3 linked regions of the Rattus norvegicus genome follow. The protein of the gene in region 3 purifies or fractionates together with the protein of the main gene of each other region. This does not show direct contact. Links are inferred from orthologs where the notes say so. Each region holds a gene or a part of one and is shown on either strand. Other genes may lie near its edges.

What was found. Proteins that work in one complex are often made in the same cells at the same time.
Region 1: the proteins of Capn1 (region 3) and Capns1 purify together in Homo sapiens (co-immunoprecipitation; 4 studies listed by BioGRID and IntAct, counting the BioPlex papers as one, with this or other methods). This does not show direct contact. The link is inferred for Rattus norvegicus from reciprocal best matches to the Homo sapiens genes CAPN1 and CAPNS1.
Region 2: the proteins of Capn1 (region 3) and Cast purify together in Homo sapiens (co-immunoprecipitation; 4 studies listed by BioGRID and IntAct, counting the BioPlex papers as one, with this or other methods). This does not show direct contact. The link is inferred for Rattus norvegicus from reciprocal best matches to the Homo sapiens genes CAPN1 and CAST.

What each region holds. Positions count from the first base shown.
Region 1 is NC_086019.1:94,577,390-94,584,058, reverse strand, and holds the start of Capns1 (calpain small subunit 1), read left to right. Parts: upstream 1-1,837; 5' UTR 1,838-1,875; intron 1,876-2,774; 5' UTR 2,775-2,789; coding exon 2,790-3,004; intron 3,005-3,982; coding exon 3,983-4,016; intron 4,017-4,280; coding exon 4,281-4,370; intron 4,371-4,501; coding exon 4,502-4,559; intron 4,560-4,663; coding exon 4,664-4,728; intron 4,729-6,669. UniProt on the Homo sapiens protein: Regulatory subunit of the calcium-regulated non-lysosomal thiol-protease which catalyzes limited proteolysis of substrates involved in cytoskeletal remodeling and signal transduction. Essential for embryonic development.
Region 2 is NC_086020.1:5,812,155-5,818,737, forward strand, and holds the start of Cast (calpastatin), read right to left. Parts: upstream 4,833-6,583; 5' UTR 4,686-4,832; coding exon 4,611-4,685; intron 4,142-4,610; exon of another isoform or gene 3,991-4,141; coding exon of another isoform or gene 3,961-3,990; intron 1-3,960.
Region 3 is NC_086019.1:212,731,614-212,739,292, forward strand, and holds the start of Capn1 (calpain-1 catalytic subunit), read right to left. Parts: upstream 4,522-7,679; 5' UTR 1-4,521. UniProt on the Homo sapiens protein: Calcium-regulated non-lysosomal thiol-protease which catalyzes limited proteolysis of substrates involved in cytoskeletal remodeling and signal transduction. Proteolytically cleaves CTBP1 at 'Asn-375', 'Gly-387' and 'His-409'.

The sequences.
Region 1 (6,669 bases), about 120 Mb from region 3:
TCCTCTGGAAGAGCAATCCATACTCTTAATTCCTGAGTCATCCCCTAGCAAAGCACCCGTGAATCTTTCTTTGTTTGAGTCAAGGTCTCACTATGTAGCCCCATCTGTTCTCTGGAACTCACTGTGTAGACCAGGCTGGCCTCAGACTCAAGAGTTCAGCCTGCCTCAGCCCCCAGACTACTGGTATCAAAGGCAGTCTGCGATAGGCTCCCTGAAGCATTTTTAAATTGTTTTGAGATAGGGCCCTGTGGTGTAGCTCACCTGCCTTAGTCTTCTGGGCCCTGGGCAAGTATCATCCCGTTTACTGATGTTCTGAGGGCACCAAGCTGGTAGCCTCACCGAGTCCTGGGTGAAGGTGAGGACAAAGAGGACTTCCCAAGTGAGAGACGCCTGAGCTCCCATCCAAAGCGGAGGACACAGACAGTCAAATCCAAACACAGGAGTATTTGTAGGCAGAGGGCAGGGCTTGTGCCAGTGAGTTGAGCCTGAGGTCAGACTGCTTAGTGTGGCAGAGGGGTGTGGCAGAGGGGTGTGGCAGAGGGGTGTGGCAGAGAGGGAATCCACATTAGTCATCACCAAATCATTTATCCGCTCTGGCTTAGATCTGGGTCACCACCCTCTGTGATCCCGCCTTTCAGAGCTTCCAGTTTCGCTAAGGTTAAGTCTTGCTTCCCACACACACAGGCCTGAGCAACAATTAACCTGGCTTGCTCCCAGCAAGCCCTTAGGTGGTGTTAGTGCCATTGCAATTTTGTCCGTTGAGATCTTATTTGACTGATGATCACATTAAATTATTGGAGATTCTTTGAACAGGTAAGGCAGACTGGTTGTTTAACCTCAGTTTACCTATATATAGAATGGGGACAATAACAGCGTCTGTCCCACAGTCCTGCCGCGAGGGCACACAACCTGGTGAGCGCAGAGCACGGAGGAACTGGCAGTTACTTGTCGATATTGCTTAAGGATGGGCAAGAGTAAATGAGCTGAGGGATCGGGGTGAGCTCCTAGCTGAGGGAACAATATGGTGACCTGGGGACTAACAGGAGAGCTGCCATTTTCCCTGTATTTATCACTTAATTCTGGGGCTCATCCAGGGGAACCTGTGTCTAACGTCCTCGAGGGTCTCATGTAGCCGCCCCCACCTCCAAGGGCTGGTGTTACAGGTGTGCGTCATCACGCCTGGCTGTGTTCCCTCCTTACAGATGAGGAAATCATTACTCAGAGACACCAGGTCACTGTTTTAGGGATGAGCAATACAGGCTCAAACCAAGGTTTACATAGTCCCAACGGAGCGGCCAGACAGCCAGACTAGAAGCCAAAAGGCGACCTGGGTGGGAGGCACAAACTGAAGGTAAACTAAAGATTTAGAGTCCTAGCATTGGAGAAGCAGAAGCAGGAGGATTGCTTCGAGTTTGAGGTGAGCCAGGGCTTTAGATCAGCTTAGGGTGTTGAACAAAACTCTATCTCAAAGTGCACGATGAATGAATGAATGACAATAACTGAAGTCCTTTTTTGCAACTATATACTGCAAAGGTGACCAGGTAGCCTGGATCTAGTTCCTGGAGGCTCCAGTGCCTGGGCGTTAGAATGGTCTACTCGTACTCATAGCTATTAAATCTGGAGAGCGTTGAATTACCAGCAGTGTGTGTACGGGGAGGGCTGAGCTAGGTAGAGACACAATCATAGCCCGCTACGTAGGGCGGGGCCTCCTGCGCAGGCGCAGTCTGCAATGGCGGCTCTAGGACCGCGCGGACCGCGGCTGGGTGGCGAGCCGGCTTTAACCCGGAGCTGCCTGAGTCACCGGCCCCGCCCTCCAGAGCCGGACACAGCGGGAGGCCCAGCGGCGGGCGAGCAAGACCGCGGACCGCCGGATCCGTAAGTGAGACGGGGCGCTTCAGTCCAGCACCCCTGCACCCCGCTGCCCGGGATCCGCTGTCCTCAGATCTGGCGAGACCCTAAAGTCGTGGCCTTGGGGGTCTTAGGACCCGTGTTCTCAGATCCGAACAACCAGGCCTGTCAGACGCTGGTCATTCCCTCCAGAGCACTCCTTGCCATCCCGGAACTCAGGATCAAAAATATAACCCCAAAGATCAGAGAGGCACCCATAAATTATCTGGGGCGTCTAGAACCACGATCCGAGATCCTGGTTCCAATTTGCGGTGTGTAGAACTCCGTTATCCGGGATCCTCCGGGCGCACAGCCATAATTTTAGGCCGGAGTCCCACAGATCCCTAATGACAGTGTAGTTCCTCTGTCGAAACTACCTGAATGTCCTAATCCACATTAGGGACTTCCTGGACTCAGCCCTGGGTCACCCCTACCCTGAGCTCAATTCTGGAAGGCCTGGATCTGAGACACGTCCGGTATACCTTACCCAACTGGGGAGTGGGGGTCCTTACATGGGGAATCCCCTGTTTCCCCGCTGCCTCAAGACAGGGGTAATCCAGGCTGGCGCTGTAGCCGAGGTTGGCCTTGAACTGATCCTCCAGCCTCAGCCTCCCAATTTCTGGGATTACAGTTGAGCGCCACCACGCTCGTCCAGCTCTACCCCTGTCCTCATTGACCACGTTTGCAGTCAAGCCTGGGCCAGGGTACCTGCTAGACCCTAGGAGGTTTCGCACCTTCCTGTCACCTGTCCAGATTCTGCCCCCATCCCGAGGCCTCTGTTCTGTCCCCAATCTAATTGCCGGAAATGCTTTCTTTTTTTTTCTTTTTGCGGGAAGGGCTGGGTTCTTGGCAAGACGACTACCTGACCCACCCCCTTTTCTTTACAGGACTCTGCTGCAAACATGTTCTTGGTGAATTCGTTCTTGAAGGGCGGCGGTGGCGGTGGGGGAGGCGGGGGTCTGGGCGGGGGCCTGGGCAATGTGCTCGGAGGCCTGATCAGCGGAGCTGCTGGAGGCGGCGGCGGTGGAGGCGGCGGTGGCGGCATGGGACTGGGAGGAGGTGGCGGAGGCGGTGGAACAGCCATGCGTATCCTGGGCGGAGTCATTAGCGCCATCAGGTAAGGCGGGGCCTAAAGGGGCAGGGTGGGCCAAATTATAAAGAAGCTCACTTAGAGGTCCGACATGGGAATCCTAATTAGGTTGGGCTGGTCCAAACTGGAAAAGTGGCCCTAAGGGGATCCCAACGAGACTGGTGTCACTTTTTAAAAACTGGGTTAGTAAACTTGCTTCTGTGGGTCAATAAATAGGATGCAGTTTCTTGGGGGTGGGGAGGAGGTACTCTTCTGTGTTTGGGGAAGGTATGATCCTATAAGACTGTATCCAGTCTTCACTGGGGGCGGAGCCAGTGGATCTGAAGTTGCTCCATGATTTAAGATTTGACCTAAGTGGAGCTTGCTGTTATAGGAGAGATCAGAACCCCCGAAAGAAGAAATGGTCCAGAGAAGGTTGTGTGGGGTCGGGAGCTGATTGGGTTGGTGGATAAAAATCCTAGCTGGGGTAAGAGCAGGTGACTGACACCTGATTATCTTTGGCGATCCAAGCAGTGATTCCTGGGAGGAGTAGGTGTTGATGGGGGAGAGGTTGGGAAGCTAGATAATCTGCAAAAGGAGCGATGGAGTCAGGCTCTGGACAAAGACCTGACCTGAGGAAGATAGAGGCATAGGGGAAACTGGTGCAGACCGACCCCTTAAGAAGCGAGTTCTTCAAGGGGCGGGCCCTGTTAAGTTTGGTGGGTTTTCGGGATTTTGATTGGGGCTAAGATGCTTCTGACATTGTGATTGGTGGGTGTTCCTGGGGCAAGGTAAGGATTCTTCCGTGGGGTGGGCCCTTGGGAGGTGGGAGGGGTTGGCCTGATGGAGGAAAAGGAGGAGCCGCAGAAAGCTGTTGATTGGGCCAGGTGAGAACGACGAGATAGACGAGAGGAGGAGGGACCCCTTAAGGAAGAGGAGGGCTGGAGTTTGAGGGGTTGACTGACCGTTCTGCCGCCCGTTGGAGGCTCTGCCCCCATGCGCTAACTCACCCTTGTCTCCCCTCAGCGAGGCTGCTGCGCAGTACAACCCGGAGCCCCCGGTAAGCGGCCCTAGAGACCCTTCCTCCCTAGGCCTGTTGCCCGCATTATCTTACCCATTCCTATGTATAAGGCTCCCCTTCCTTCCTTGGAAAATTCCCCTGCCGGCAAGAATGTCCTTTTTGAGGGCCCCTATTGTCTCAGCCACGCTACTTGCTACACTCACCTCAAACTGCCCACCCCTCCCTGACTTTTCCCTGGGATCTTGGGTATGAGGAGAGAGACGTGTTTCTCCACGTCTGTTCTGAAATCGCTTCTCTCTGCAGCCCCCACGTAGCCATTACTCTAATATTGAGGCCAACGAGAGTGAAGAGGAACGTCAGTTCAGGAAACTTTTTGTCCAGCTGGCTGGAGACGTAAGTATACTGCGTGGCTGCTCCACGGTGTTACCTGACTGTGAAAAACCGGAAGTTCCCACCCCGTTTTGTTTTATGGTATCCAGACCTCTTTCCATCTCCCTTGAACCATACTTAACTTCTGCCATCAGGACATGGAGGTCAGCGCTACAGAACTCATGAATATCCTCAACAAGGTCGTGACCCGACGTAAGTGACCAGGGTCAGGGAGTGATGAAGGTGTAGAGGCGTATGGGCTGGGATGATCTTTGACCTCTGACCTTCAACCTGTCCACCCATCTAACCCCCCTCAGACCCAGATCTGAAAACTGATGGGTTCGGCATTGACACTTGTCGGAGCATGGTGGCTGTTATGGATGTATCCTTTTGGGGCCAGTCTGGAGGATGTCTTGGGTGAAGAGGGTGTTTTCTGGGAGTATGTTGAGGACAGACGAGGTGAAGCCTTCATACCTGAGGACACAGGCCTACCTACATGACACCACCAGAACTTTACCTGGATTAGGAGACCCAACCTTTACAGATACCTTGTTAGATAAGGACAATGTAATAGGAAAGGAAACAGGGTCAGAGAGACACAGTGGTTTTTTTTTTTTTTTTTTTTTTTTTTTTAATTAAAATTGCACCCTGGTGCATTGATTTTAATTTGGGAACTCAATCCAAGGCAGTTTCTCCTTAGTGGTGGCCCTCTGGCCCTGGACACACACACACAGACTGGGGGCCCGCAGAATAGCTGGAACAGCAAGGGATGGGACAATCAAATATCCATTCATCAGAGGGCAGCCAAGTCTTCAGTTCTGCACACCTTGCTGGTGATTGGGTGACAAGTTTCAGAGAGACACAGTGGTTTTGTCTCTGGCCAACCCACCCAGAACTCACTGGACTTGAATATCTGATCTTGGAAGCTAATCTTGGGGCTACTCGAGACTTAGATAACAGAACCAATCATTTGGAGAATACATGGCAGGTTAGGAATTTGGACTTGGGAGTTTCGATTTGAGAATCTAAGCTGCTTTTATTTCTCTATTTACTTTTAAATGATATTGATTGATTGATTGGTTTTTGAGACCGGGTTTCTCTGCCTTGGCCGGCCTGGAATTCACTCTGTAGACCTGGCTGGCCTCGAACTCCGAGATCTGCCCACCTTTGCCTCCCAAGTTACAGAATTAAAGGAGTGTGCCACCATCATGAGATTATCAGTTTTAGGTGTACTTATTTTATGTGTCTGGGTGTTTTGTCTGAATGTAATTATGTGCACCTGATACATGTCTGGTGTTGGAAGAGGACAAAAGAGGGTATCAAACCTCTCAAGAGTGTGTTACAGGGGGGTTGGGGATTTAGCTCAGTAGTAGAGCACTTGCCTAGCAAGCGCAAGGCCCTGGGTCGGTCCCCAGCCCCGAAAAAAAAAGTGTGTTACAGACAGTTATGAGCTGCCATGTGGGTGCTAGGAATCGAACCCAGGTCCTTTCTTCAAGAGCAACCTATTCTGTTAATCTCTCCAGTCTATATATCTATATCCATATCCATATCTATATCTATCTCAAGGGGCATAACTACATGCATGGTACATATGTTCACATATATACATCCCAAGAACATAACTACATGTATAGGATATGGAGGAATGTGTACAGAAACTCACATAAACATTTGCACATGGGCCAGGCAGTATTGAATCCTGAGTGTGTACACATACATCTAGCACACTTTACTCACTATCTCCTTAGCTCCTACGCCCCACCCCCACCCCAAGGCTCTGTGGGATCAAAGATGAGTGCCACCACTGCCCAGCTAAAACTTCTTTTATTTTTAATTTATTTTTATTTTGTGTGTATTGGTGCTTTGCCTGTATGTATGTCTGTGTGAGGGTGTCAGATCTTGGAGTTATAGACAGTTGTAAGCTGCCATCTAGGTGCTGGGATTTGAACCCAGGTCCTCTGGAAGACCAGCAAGTACAATTAACCACTGGGCCAGCTCTCTAGCCCCCAAGCTGTCTTTCAAAGCACAAGAGTTCTGCCTGCTTTTACCTGCTATGGGCTGAAGGCCTGCACCACCAGACCCAGCCCAACCTTGTTTTGTCTTTTGGGGTAAGATCTTTCTGTATACTCTGTATACTCAAGTTACCATGAAACTCCCAATGCTTCTTCCTCTGTCTCCTCAGTGCTGGGATTACCACATAAGACCCTATCCAAGAAAGGGGGGGTCTTACTGTGTAACTCTAGCTGGCCTGGAATTCACTGTGTGGGCCAAGCTGGTTTCAAACTCACAGGTATCTGCTTGCCTTTGCCTACTGGGTGTTGGG
Region 2 (6,583 bases), on a different chromosome or scaffold from region 3:
CTGACAATTTACACTCATTTAAATCCTTTGTGTGGAAGTGGGATCTGGAGATACACTGACACAATGTTGATCATTAATGATGCCAGTTGATTTGTGGGTGCTAATTATGCCATTTTTCTTCTGCTCATATGGAAAGTTTTACTACAAAAAAGTTTTGAAAATTTTAAGTGACTGTTATCTCAAGAGTGTTTGGCTAGAGTCACTTAAAGGTAAAATCATAGCTGTTCTAGTTTTAAAACTGAAAAGTGTCAAAACTCACAGAAAAGGCTACTAGGGTTTATTAACCATGAAAAAGAAAAATCAGTGAGTGTCCCCTACAATCTAGATGTCATGGAGACAAAATAAATATTATAAGAGAATATGGACAATGAGATTCTCTGTAGGAAAAGGCACTTGGTGCCAAACAAAGCCTGACAGCTGAATTTGACTCCTGGAACCCACGTCGCAGGTAGGAGAGGACTGTGTGCACCAGCTGTTCTCTGATCTCCACATGTACATTGTGGCATACTGACTGCCCTCCACCCCCACACCAAAACACACACACACACACACACACACACACACACACACACACACACACCCCGACTGAATTAACTGGTTCTCCATCTCCACTGGATGGAACAGTTTTAAAATGTTTTCTTAACTGATGAGACTCTTTTCCAATTCACGGTAGTCACAGTCTTAATAAGTTTTCATAAAAGGAAAATGAAACAACTTGAAGAACAGAACTTTACTGCCATGCTAATAAGATTTAGATCTTGAAAGTATTCCAAAGTGAGAAAATGGAAGTCTGACTGAGACACCCTGCTGATGCTGAAATAACCTGCTTAGAACTAACTACCAGTTGTCTGTCCACCTTGGACTCTCAATGACTACCCTTTGTTTCCAACCCAACCACTTGAATAATATAATTAACTTTCTAAGAAGGTTTAAAACTGATTAAAGAGCAATATCATCATATGTTACTCATTTTAAAAAACTTTTATGCAATGGAAAAATATTCCATTCAGGGACTGCCAATCAAAAAATTGTGACCTTTGACCTCTTCATTCTTGCTGCCTTAAATACTATACTACAGCCTTTATGCAGACCTCATAATTTTGCCTCCACCCTTGCCCCCGGAAAATCTATTGCAACCAAGTTGTCTGTTTTGCCATGGGTAGTCTGCAACACTTTGGCCAGTCTAGCTGCAATGGTGGAGCCTTCCAAATGACTGAGTACCTTGATTATGCTCTCACTGGGGCTATAAATCTAAATAAACTAAAAAACACCTTTAATTATCACAAGGTAACAGAATCAAGATATGAGTCAGGAATCTAATTATTTATGTAAGCCAAGTATACTGAGTTCTGATAATTATGATGTTCATCAGATATTCTCTAAATGTAGCTTTTTAACAAATTTTATAAAGTTGGTTTTTACTACAATCAAAAATATTCAGATGGTAATCAGTGTGAAAATGTACAATATTATGTTTCCTTGGTTGGCTTTACAAGTAGCATGCTCTTAAATGAACATATCTTTGCATTACTCTACTTTTATTCTGTATAAAGTTAGATCACTCATATTATTTTTAGTATTTAAAGAATCTTACTAAGGATACTAAGGATATTCTAATTATAGGACTCACTAGAAGTATTCTACAAGGATGTGTGTGCGGTGTGTGTAGAATTCCATTGGTATCTTTCGGAAACTGGTTTTAGAAATGTTTTGAGAAATCAAATCCTGCAGATGCTCAAATGGCTTGTATGAAATAGCATGTTCACATCTAAACTATTCACTGTCTTCCTGTGCTCTATGATACCCAATATTAAGGCATATCCACATTTTTATATTATATTGCTTGGGGAATAATGACAAAAGAAATTGATACATGTTCAATGAAGATTCAATTTTTAAAAATTATTTTTGATTGGTGGCTGAATATGTGATAAAAGGGTTTAACAGCACACTTTTATTCATAGGCACATAAACAAAACTACTTAATATATACATTGCACATATGAAAATATGTACACATATTTTATATATGCACAGAATATAAGAACATATGCATTTATATGTATCTATATGTTAAAATTGGCATTGGAGAAAGATTTGTGCAGACTTTGCATGCCTTGAAGAGGCAAATTATATATGTATATTGTTGAGAGAAAGTACTATATTTCATTCTCAAAATGAAATGTAAAAAACACAAACAAACAAACAAACAACAACAATAAAAACAAAAGAAGATTAGGAACAAGCCACTTAGAGCTTTCCTGCCTGTGTTATTTCACTAGCCACAGTGGCAAGTGAAACTCTGAAATATGGGAATTGGGAGATACTGTGAGTATAACATAACTGCACAGCCAGATTTTTGAGTAATTAGCACAAAAAGAGGTGACTTGTCATTTTTAGCACATGATTACATACTTAAATGTCACCTAGGATAGAGCCAGTTAACAAAAATGTTATTAACATACTTGACTTCTTAAAATATTTTTGTTAATGGGACTGTTACAAATTTTTAAAGCCCTTTTGGGTATCATAGTACTTTTCTGCTGGAGAAAAGTCAAAACTTGATCACAAGCATGCTGAAAGTTCTAGAAAGTTAGCACAAGCAGAAGTCTTAAATAATAATCCCCAAACTGGCTTGTAGTGGAATTTGGGCAAAAATATCAAAGTGTCTCACACAGTGCAGTAGGTATTAAAAGCAAAGATCTAAGCTATCTTCATCTAAGTAGCTGGCACAATTTCCTTTAGACAACGCCAAGCTTGGACAGAGAAATCTGATGTTAGTTGAACACCTGCCACCCATATTTGCAGATAATTTAATGGGTGCATTTTGATAAGAATTCTGGGACAATCATGACTCAATGCAAACATACGCTCTCAGCAAATTAATAAAACTATACATTTAAACAGCACAGAAAAGTGTAAGGGAGAACATTCATGAAGAAACATCACTGAAAACACATATGTGGCATGTCTACTGCTGAATAGTCCTTATGTAAATATTTGGTATTTGACAGATATGAAAACATAAAGACTCACACATTGAAATCATTGCCACTTGAGTTAAGAACTCTACAGTGCACTTGAAGGCTAGCACACTTAGATGATCAATCAGTTCTCAATGCCTATTTTCTAATTCTAACCCAAAGTTTGTAGATGCAAAGATTATCTGATTACTGCATCTTTACTTTGTCCATACCACCTCCTGAGAAGGTGGACCTAAGATTTTGAAATTCTCACCATAAATCACCTCATGACTCTCTGTCAACAAAGGGTTGGAAACTTTTGTTTTTGTTGTTGTTTTTTCTTTTTTAAATGTAATGTAAAAACCATGCTTCCTGGTTTCAAAACATTACAAGTTCCAGTTTGACTGGGTATAACACATACTTGGTAGGACAGACTAACCACTAACCAAATGGAACACGTTTGTCCTCTTGCAAAGTAATACAGAGTAGTGACATATACTCATTTCTCTCTCTCTCCCCCATCCCCCTTCCCGCCAGAGTATTAATTGATCACAATTGTTCTCTGATCTTTTCTTCTTTTCCATTCCCCATCCTCCTCTTTCGAGTTTGAAACTGCTTCACCCACCATTCTTTGTAAGTTTTTATCTTTACTTAGCAGTCGAAAAACTAAACCTGGGCTTCAGTGCTTCTTTTCTATGTATCCAGGTAAGTGTTTCAAAGGGCAGAAATTAAGGATTGCTGTCCATTCAATTTGGGAATGCGAGCTGAGCCTGGTGCACCTCGCTGCCCAGACTGTACCGCCCAGTATGCGTCCGCATACCACGGAAGGGAGAGCCTCCAGCTTCTGCCCGAGCTTAACCAGAAGGTCTGCAAGGAGTTCTCACCCGGTCTCACCCTTGGCCCTCCAACTTCATGCCATATTTCCTCAACCTGCCAGTGGGGCGAGGTAAATACACTCCCTTCCCAGTGCTGCCCAAGCTCGGTCCCTTCTATTTACCGTCTTGTACCACCAGTTTGCGAATGCCATGGCGACAACCCTGACGTGCTCCGAGCCGCGCTGCTGGGAAGCTGTCCAGGACGAAGAGTGAGGTGCTGGTGGCACCACTACGACTCTCTGCCTGGCTGGGACCTTTCTGACAGGGCACAGGGTGTTACGCAGCTGCCCGGTGGGAGGGCACAAGGGAAAGGAGCGATAGGACCCGCCCACAGCTAGCGTGGTCCCGCCCTGTCCGATCTGGCTAATTAGGAAAGAGGTGTGTGTCAGTTCTTCAGCCGCCACTCCCTACATGGAAAGTGTGTGAGGGTGGGGGTGGGGGGTGACTTCACATGGAGGGCAGAGGCCCTCTGCCGTGCCGTACGAGCCCACTCACTCCGAAAGTCCGGAGTATACTTTATTCTGCTTCCATGCCTTGTGCACTGCCTTGGTCTCACTAGCCCGTGTTGCTCCAAGAGCCCCTCCACCCAACTCGTGACACTACCAAATTTAAAGAGCCTGGGGCCACCTGCTTGCCCGCAGTCACAGAGCTCTGATCCTTTTCCTATCTGGAAGGTGCCAAGGAGGGGCAACGCCCCAGAACTGCTGCGAGGCACTCCTGGACTACGGCCCCCTGCCGCTTGCCCCGCGGCTCGGTTCGGAGTACTACTCACCTCCTGGGTGTGGCTAGCTGCCGCCCCGCGCCGGGGCCTGGAAGAGGCGGCGGGCTTCGGGCCGGGCCGGGACATTATTTGGTGAAACTGCTGCGAGTGCAGCCTCTGGGAAAGCGCAGAGAAATTGTACGGGAGGCCCAGGCCAGAGCTCGGGGCGGTGGAGCGGAACGGCGCAGTGAGGCAGCTTTTCCGACCCAGCCCTGAGCCCGGGCCAGCTCCCCCTCGCCCGGTTAGGCCCTCCTCTTCCTGTGGGCCGCTCACTGCCCAATTTGTCAGCAACCCTGAACTGCAGTTTAACGCCCTCTGCTCAGGGTTCGTACACAAGACCCTCCCCAGACTGGCCCCAAAACTGCAGGGTTCTCAGTGGATCACAAATTGGGGAAGCTGGAGGTTGCAGTTCCCGGGTGGACTTGTCCAGACCAATCTAGACATTGTGTAACCAGAGAGCTAAACTGGGGCGTGGTCTAGACTTCCTTTCCTAAGAATTTGGAGAATTAGACACTTTTCTGCAATCTGTCACTAATTCAACTCTAGCCTAAATCCGAACTAAAGATAAGAGAAAGGATCTTGAGAAGAAATTGGTCTCTCAGTGTTTGTGTACTTCTGAGTGTGCTATGTCCTGTATTTGATTATTTATATAGGCAATTCTGTAAGTGTACTAATGGTTTACAAGCAGAAGCTAGCCTGCCTGCTCTAATCCAAATCAGCAGACAATCACGGACTTTAAAGTCATCTCCTTTTCTGGAGCCTACATTTCTGATGTTGAATTGCTTTTGACTTGGCTTCATTTTAGGCAGTACTTCCTGGTTTGGGGCTGGAAGTGAAATTTAACAATCTTTTTGAGTACTCATCCAAAGGGTTTGTCAGCCTGCAGATACTGCTGACTAGTGCCAGCCACAAAAAAAGCCTGTGCCACCACAATAGCATTGTGATTTGTGGTTTTTCGTCAACATGCTAGAGAGCTAGGTTTTAGACAGATGACAAGAGAGAAGCCCCATTACAGAGCAAGATTTGCCATGCTATAAGGAGCTTGGCAGAACAGAATTATGGTTGTCCAGTGCCCCTTCAATTTTAGGGATATCTCTCAACTTCTCACAAATTAATTAGCAATGTTCTTGGATTTTATGCATTTCTTCGTGAAGTGCTCTATGTATAATGTCACCAATATTTCAAAAGATAGGTAGCAGTGCAAGAATGCATACATAAATTGAAACATTTTGGTGTACAAACTGTCATTAGCAAAGATTGGTTGGTGGCATGCATCATTTACATCCAAAATAGGGAAAATCGTTAGACTGAAAAAAAAAAGTCTTATGTTTTTCAGCAGAATATTTAAAAATTGAATTTAAACCAGTTAATTTTGCATTCATTGAGAGTCTTCTATGTAAAGCCCTATGGGAGGAATAGTAGAGAGAAGGATATGCAAAGACTAAACTTGGGACTCCCCTGGGACCCAGGAACTTACAAGTTATTTGGATTTAGTTGGTGATTGATTGGGTGGCAATGGGAAATATACAGTATGTAAATAAAGACAAATGTGCTTCTGGAATGTGGTGTTTCATGGGTACTGTTGATTATAGACAAGAAAAGAGAAATGTAGAGGGTGTTGGTACAGTGTGGACAGGAAGAGAAGAGACACTGCAGGAAATAAAGGGAACACTCTCATCTTTTTGTCTTATGAAGCTGAGGGTCTCCGTTCAGATCAACAGATCTATTTGGCATTCTATAACTTACTGACTACAATTTGCCACAAGTTATGAAAATCCATAAAGCTTAACAATGCTATTTCTCAGGTTTTGCTTGACTCAGTATTTAAGTCAAACACTGTTTCCCAGCACATTAATGGCTATGAGTAAAAACTAATGTCAGAAGTTGAAGTATTTTGCTTTGTAACTGAGAGTTACTGAAACCATGAAAGGAAGGTCTTCACATTTGGGGATCTTAGAGAATCCCTGCACAGATAGAGGCAGCAT
Region 3 (7,679 bases):
TAAGAGCACCCGACTACTCTTCCACAGGTCCTGAGTTCAATTCCCAGCAACCACATGGTGGCTCACAGCCATCTGTAAAGAGATCTGATGCCCTCTTCTGGTGTGTCTGAAGACAGCTACAGTGTACTTATATATAATAAATGAATAAATCTTAAAAAAAAAAAAAAACTAGTTATTTAAAAAAAAAAAAGGGTGGCAGGTGTCCCTTTTGGAGGGAGGGGAACAAACGTTATTGAGGATCCGTGGTGTAGTACTCTAAGGAGGGGATGTTCTGTGTGTTTGGGAGTTGGGTGCTGAGTAGGGGCAGGGACACCCCAGCAGATACAGCTCTCTTTCTCTTCTAATCCTGCTTGACCTGGTGGCCCAGAGGCTCTTACTCTTTGGAAGCCATGTGGACCCTAAGTGCCACCACCTAAGTGCTATACCCACATTCATTGTCACACCAGGCAATTAACTTGACAAGATGGCCATTGAAGGTGGTGCCAGCCTCAGCATAAAAGGTAGAATAAGGGCTGGAGAGATGGCTCAGAGGTTAAGAGCACTGTCTGCTCTCCCAGAGGTCATGAGTTCAATTCCCAGCAACCACATGGTGGCTCACAACCACCGATAATGAGATCTGGTGCCCTCTTCTGGCCTGCATGTATACATGGAGGTGGAACTCTGTGTACATAATAAATAAATCTTAAAAAAAAAAAAAAAAGGTAGAATAAGGAGTCTACTTTTAATCTGCAGGAACAAACTGGTCCTCGGGGAATGCCCTTCAGATTGATTCACTCTTTAAACAAAACAAAACAAAACAAAAAACAAGCTCTTTTACTCTACATAGCCCCAACTGTCCTGGAACTCAGTATGTAGACCAGGCTGCGTCTACCTCCTGAGTGTTGGGATCAAAGGTGTGTGCCACCACACCTGGCTCCTTACCACTTTCCTGATGTCATTGTACTCAGCAACTTAGCAGGTAGGATCCTGATACTATGGTTGGACACAGGAGGGACACCCAGTGAGCTTCCCATTCATTCAGTTCAGGGCTGGCCTTGACTGAGTCTTGGCAGTGTCAGCCTCTGCGTGATGATGCTCTGGATATCCCCATGGCCATCAGATGACAGGTTCTCAGAAAGGCTGCCCATAGTCTTCTGGGTGGGAGAAATGGCATAGACTGCAGTGGTGAAGCCCTTCTCAATGCCAGGCTAATATGGATGACCTTTACAGGGGCCGAGGTATTGGTGGTACTTGACTGACGAATTGCTGTCCATATTAAGGAAGTTCCCATTTCATGGTTCATGACTGTCACACACATGGGGAATCAACAATAGGAGCAGAGGTGATGGCCTTTTGCCCCCTCACCCCCAGCTTTCTCCAGTGTGGCAGAGGGATCAGCGGACTTCTCAGCTTCTTTAAACTCAGTGATAGAAAAAAGGAGCTCCAAGCGTGTCACCACCTGTACTCCCAGCAGCTGGAAAGCTGAAACTGGAGGATCACACGTTCAAGGCCTGCACGGGCTATAGAGGGAGTTCCTGGCAACTTGAGTCACTCACTTAGCTGGACCCTGCCTTAAAAACTTGAGCTGCAGAGGAGCATGGTGACACATTCCTGATCAGTACTTGGAGCAGAGCCAAATTCAAGGCCAATCTTGTCTACAAGTCACGTCGCAGGTCAGCCAGGGCTCTACAGTGAGACCCTAGAAGACCAGGAAGAGCTGTAGCTCAATGCTAGGCCACTTTTCTTTGCACGCAAAAAGCCCTAAGCTCAATCTCCAGGGAAGAAAGGTAGAGAAAGGAGTGAGCTGGGACTGGAGAGAGGGCTCAGCAGTTAAGAGCACTGATTGTTCTTCCAGAGGTCCTGAGTTCAATTCCCAGCAGCCACATGGTGGCTCACAACAATCTACAATGGGATCTGACATGCAGATAGGGCACTCATAAATAAAATAAATCCTTTTTTAAAAAAAAGGAGTGAGCTGAAAGCTATAGACGATGGTATTGGATCTTAAATGTATCTTGGTAAGTCAAAAGTGATTTTATTTACATGTATAAGCCGCAGTGTCCGTGTTTCTGTTCTTCTTTCTACCATGTGTGTTCGGGTATCAAACTCAGGTTGTTGAGTTTGGCATCAAGCACCTTTGCCCACTGAGCTGTCTTACACACCCTCTTGAGAAAATGGTGTCTTGAATGATTCTAGACCTTAAATTTTCTGGGAAATATGGGGGGAAAGACAAAATGAAGAGAAAAGTGGTTACCAGAAGGTGGGAAGAAAGGGCTGACTGGATGGATCGCAGTGAGTTTTCAAGGCCAGGAAGCTACAGTCATGGTGGATACAGGGCATGGCACTGTATCTGTAAACCCTTAGATCAACAACATTAAGGATGAACCTGATGGTGAACTGTGGACTTTAAGGAATAACATTGTGTCTATATTGCTTCAACCATTGTAACAAGCAGAGCACAAAAAAGGAAAATGGCAAGTTTCCTTAATTTTTAAGATACAGCCTTTTGTGTAGCTTAAACTCATCTTGAATTCATGGTTCTCTTTCAAGAGCAGCAAGACTGTGATTCAGTTCCCAGCACCCACTTGAGTACTTGAAACCATGTGTAACTCCAGTTCCAGGGATTCTGGCGCCCTCTTCTGGCCTCTGTGAGCATTGTGTGAAATGGTAAACACACACATAAGCAAACAATCATAAACATAAAATGGAAACAAATCTGTAAATAAATGGAGCTGGGAGTGTAGCTCAGTGGGGTAGAACTCTTGCCTAGCTTACACAAAGCCCTCTGTCTTAGTTAGGGTTTTATTGCTGTGAAGAGACACCGTGACCAAGGCAACTCTTTGTTTTTAAAGAGTTATTTATTTATTTCATGTATATGAGTACAGTTTTCAGAAGTACCAGAAGAGTGTATCAGAGCCCATTACAGATAGTTATAAGTCACTATGTGGTTTCTGGGAATTGAACTCAGGACCTCGGGAAGAGCAGTCAGTGTTCTTAACTACTGAGCCATCTCTCCAGTCCCCCAAGGCAATTCTTATAAAGGCAAACATTTAATTGGTACTGGCTTACAGAATCAGAGGTTCAGTCCACTATAATCATGGTGAGAAGCATGGCAGCATACAGGTTGACTTGGTGCTAGAGGAGCCAAGAGTTCTACATCTTGATCTAAAGACAGCCAGGAGGAGACTGCCCCACACTGAGCAGAGTTTGAGCACTAGGTCTCAAAGCCCACCTACACCCTTTCTCTGACAAGGCCACATCTCCTAATAGTGCCTCTTCCCATGGGCACTTCAGGATTCTGTCTCAAAAACAACAACAAAAACTAATACAGATGTGGCTCTGGGTTTGATCCTCAGCAGGAAGAATGGGGAGGAGGAAAGAAGGGACAGATGCCTTAGTTGCTTTTCTATTTCATGTTTAGATGCCATGGCCAAGCCAACTTAGACAAGAAGCAGTTATGGGGGCTGTGGTTCCAAAGGGTGAGTCCATGACTGTCCCATTGGAGAGCACAGCAGCAGGGAGGGAGGCATGGCACTGGAGCAGTGGCTGAGAATGGAATGGGCTTTTGACACTCCTCCTCCAATAGAGCCACACCTCCTAATCCTTCCCAAACAGTTCTACCAACTGGAGACCAACTATTTAAACATATAAGCCTATGGGGGCCGTTCTCATTCAAACACCCAGGAGGAAGCAGGGGATTCTGGGGAATTCACACTACTGTAGTGTTGGGTAGTGAGATGAGTACTGGATGAAAAGGGTGAGAGGGAGGGATAGCCAAGGGCCTTAAGAAAACGTTTTTTGTGGGGTGACAGATGTTTATTTCTTCGGATTATAAAAGTTTTGTGGATACATGACACATTGAAACAAGATATCCATTTTAAGTCTGTGTTGTTTGTTATGTGCCAATTATACTGCAGTAAAGCTGTTAAAACCCACAGGAACTCACTGGCAGATGGGGGAGGGGCTCTTGGGAAATGGGGATGTATCAAATGCAACTCTAGCCCTGAGTGGGCTAATGAGAGTAGGGTGGGTTGAAGTCACCATTTTACGGTAGACTCTTTTACCTATCCCAATCTTCTCCACCCCAAGCCCGTCCAAACCCCCAACGCTAGGTAGGAGAGAAAGAAGATTGAGGCAAAAGGGGGCCTCGGTTTATACACCCTCTTAAGAGTTCCCAGAATTCCAAACATAAACTATCTTCAGCTGGCAAAATCATGTCCTGCTAGAGATGCCCCTGCTTCACTGTTAACTTTCCGGGTTAGTGTAGAGCACACGGGTTAAAGGTTCCTCCACAGATAACTCTTCCCCCCTCAGATGTCATCCACAAACAGGGCACCCACGTGACTCCCTTCTGTCTGTTTAAACCGATTGTTTCTGTCAAGTTGACACACACCCAGACAACTGGGAGGAGAGTATCTTAACTAAGAAAATGCCTCCCCAAGACTCCTGCAAGTTCTAGGGGGATGAGGAGGAATAGGGAGGGAAAGCTGCCATCAGGATGTGCTGTATGAGAGGAAAATAAATTTAAAAAAAAAATTTTAAAAAGACCGTCCCATGGAATGTTGTCTTGATTGATGGTTGCTGTGGGAGGGCTCAGCTCACTGTAGGCACGTGGAGGTCAGAGGTTGACTAAACAACCGTTCTAAATCCTCTTCCACCTTCACACTGAGGGTCTCAGTCAAACACACCGCTCACCAAATGGCTGGCTAGTCTTTTTAGACAATTTGCTTTGGGGATCCCATCTCTGCCTTCCAGATCTGGAGTTGTAGGCAAGCTGCCATACCTGATCACTTTGAGAATTTAAACTCCCATCTTCTCACTTTAACTACTAAGTGATCTCTCCAGTCCCAAGATGGGCCTTTCTAAAATGAGCAGCCCTGTAACCTCATTAGCGTGACTTCCACCTGCTCTCCTTATGAATAATCCAAGGACTTCTCTGAGGGACAAATTCTATCACACACAAAATTGTGTGGATTTTAGGAGCTGTGTGTTAGGAGCAAAGTCAGAGGTCAACATATGTACACACACACACAAATATCTGATACTCACATAGGTGTCTGTTTATATTTAGTTATTTAGGGGTTTTTTTGTTGTTTTTTTAGAGGACATCATAAGAAACTCATGAGGGGCCACTGAGATGGCCCATTGGGTACACTGATGTAAAAGTCTTACAGTGTGTTTGAGTTTGAGATCTGGAGCCAATGATGGAAGGAGAGAACCAAGTCCTGAAAGTTACCCTCTGATGCACACACACACACACACACACACACACACAGAGTCATACACACACACAACCATACACACACAGTCATACACACAATAATAGATACTATTTTAGACTAAAAAAAATGGTCACTGTTGAGATGTCTAAGGTTAAGGTGAGAGGACTGACTCTTCAAGGGGGCTGGAGAGATGGCTCAGTGGTTAAGAACACTGACAGCTCTTCCAGAGGTCCTGAGCTCAACTCCCAGCAAGGGTCTGAAAAGAGCAAGAGTGTACTCATGTACATTAAATAAATAAATAAAAAAATAAAAAGCGGACTCTTCAAAATGTTCATGTGAGGTTCAGTGTATAAATAATCAGTAAGAGGCCATGCCTAGCATGCATAAGGTCCTGGGTTCAGCCCCAGTAACACACACACACACACACACACACACACTCACATACTCACACTCACATACACACACTCACACACTCACATACACATTCACACACACATTCACACACTCATACACACACTCATACACATACACACACATTCACACACACACACACACACACACACACACACGATTACACACCTGTAATCTCTGCACTTGGGAGGCTGCAGCAAAAGGATTGATGTAAACTTAAGGCCAGCCCGGGCTATACATTGAATTTTAGGCAAGTGTGTGCATAGCACAAGACCTTTGTCACAAAATAAAAGAGGAAGAAAGGGAGGGAAGAGGAGGGAAGAAGAGGGGAGAGAGCGGGGAAGGGAGGGGGAGGAGGGAGTGACAAAAACAAACTGCAGTCCTCGCCTTGGCTTCTAATGTCCCAGCCTCCAAGCTTTCTGACCTCTGATCCTCAGGAACCAGGCCTAGAACCCACCTCCAAAGTGCAGGAATTACAGCCCGGGCTGCCACACCCGCATGGGGCCATCTTCCCATGAGTGTTCAGTTTTGTTCAGTTTAAGTGTCACCCCCTCTAGGCAGCCCTCCCCTCCCCATTAACGACAAATTTACTTTTGTGGTTTGCTTTGGAGGTTCTGGGGGTTGACCCTGTGGTGCAGCAGGGCTCTACCACTGAGCTTACCCCCCCAGCAGGATGTCACTCTTCGGGTTGTCGTTATGTCTCTGGAGCAGGACCTGTGCTGTAACAGTTAAGGCAGTGTAACTGACTGCAGCCGCAGGCAGGAGCCCTGTCTCATCGGTTGGTTGGTTGGTTGGTTGGTTTTCAAACAAGGTGTCTTGTAGCCCAGGCTGTTCCTCAAGTTCACTATGTAGCCCGGGGTGGCTCTGAACCCTTGATCCTCCTGCGTCTGCCTCCTGAGCACTTGAATTACAGGTGTACATCATTTTTTTTTTTTTTTTGGTTCTTTTTTTTCGGAGCTGGGGACCGAACCCAGGGCCTTGCGCTTCCTAGGTAAGCGCTCTACCACTGAGCTAAATCCCCAGCCCCAGGTGTACATCATTTTGTCTGGCCACTGTGCCTCACTTACAAACAGTCCTGGTCCTAAAGTTATTTTTTAGATGGGCTCTAGAGCTGCTTTCCACGTGAGCTCTTCGGTAGGTTCCAGATGCCTCTGCTCATTCAATCCCCTCTACACCCATAGGAGAAGAATGTCACAGAAGGGAAACTGAGGCTCAGGATGGCAGCAACTGGCCACCAGCCAGGGGTGGGGTGGGGGCGGAGCTGGTCCTCTGCTTTTACTGCCTGATGCCTTCTGGACCCTCCCCCATCACCCGAGGCCAAGAAACCAAGCCAGGACCTGAAGTTCATCAGACTCTCGATTGTTCTTGGAGCAGACACCTGAGTGGGTGGGTTAAGAGGAAAGTGAGAGGTAGTGTCAACACTGCCAGCTTGAGGCCCACGGGCAGGAGGGCAGAAGGAGGGAAGACAGTCAGAACGTGGTTCAACCAGAAAGCAAGCAGGCAGCTCTTGATCCTGTGGAGGTCATCAGCTAGGGCTAAGTGAGGGCCGGGGAAGATGCAGATAGGGGATATGATGGGATTGCACTGGGAAACCTGCCAAGCCCACAAAGCTAGGAAGAGGCAGAGCGAGACCCAGCCCATATACCCTTCCCTTCCTCAATCCAGTATTCACTCGAACAGTTTCTGACTTCTAACTCAGAGGTGTAGGTGCCTGCCTCCAGTCCCATCTAAGGGTACAAGAACATCACCTGAGAGATTTCTGAGAGATTTCTGGTCCACTGAGAGATCATTTTGGCAGTGAGAACAATGGCCTTCAGATGGCAGGGAAGGGCCCCCCCAAAGCCCGCTGTGGTGCAGGAGCCAGTGGCTGCGCTCAGTGGGGAGGGGCTCCTGACTTGAGAGCAGCTCCTTTCACTGTGGTACTGCTGTAGCTGCAGGGCCCGGGAGTTGGCTCCTTGGCCGTGATCTGAGAAGGGCAGAGTAGACTGAACAGCAGTGGGGGCCCAGCTTCCGTGCCCTGGGTTAACCAGCCAGACCTCACCTCCTCATAGCTCATTGCAGCTCGGA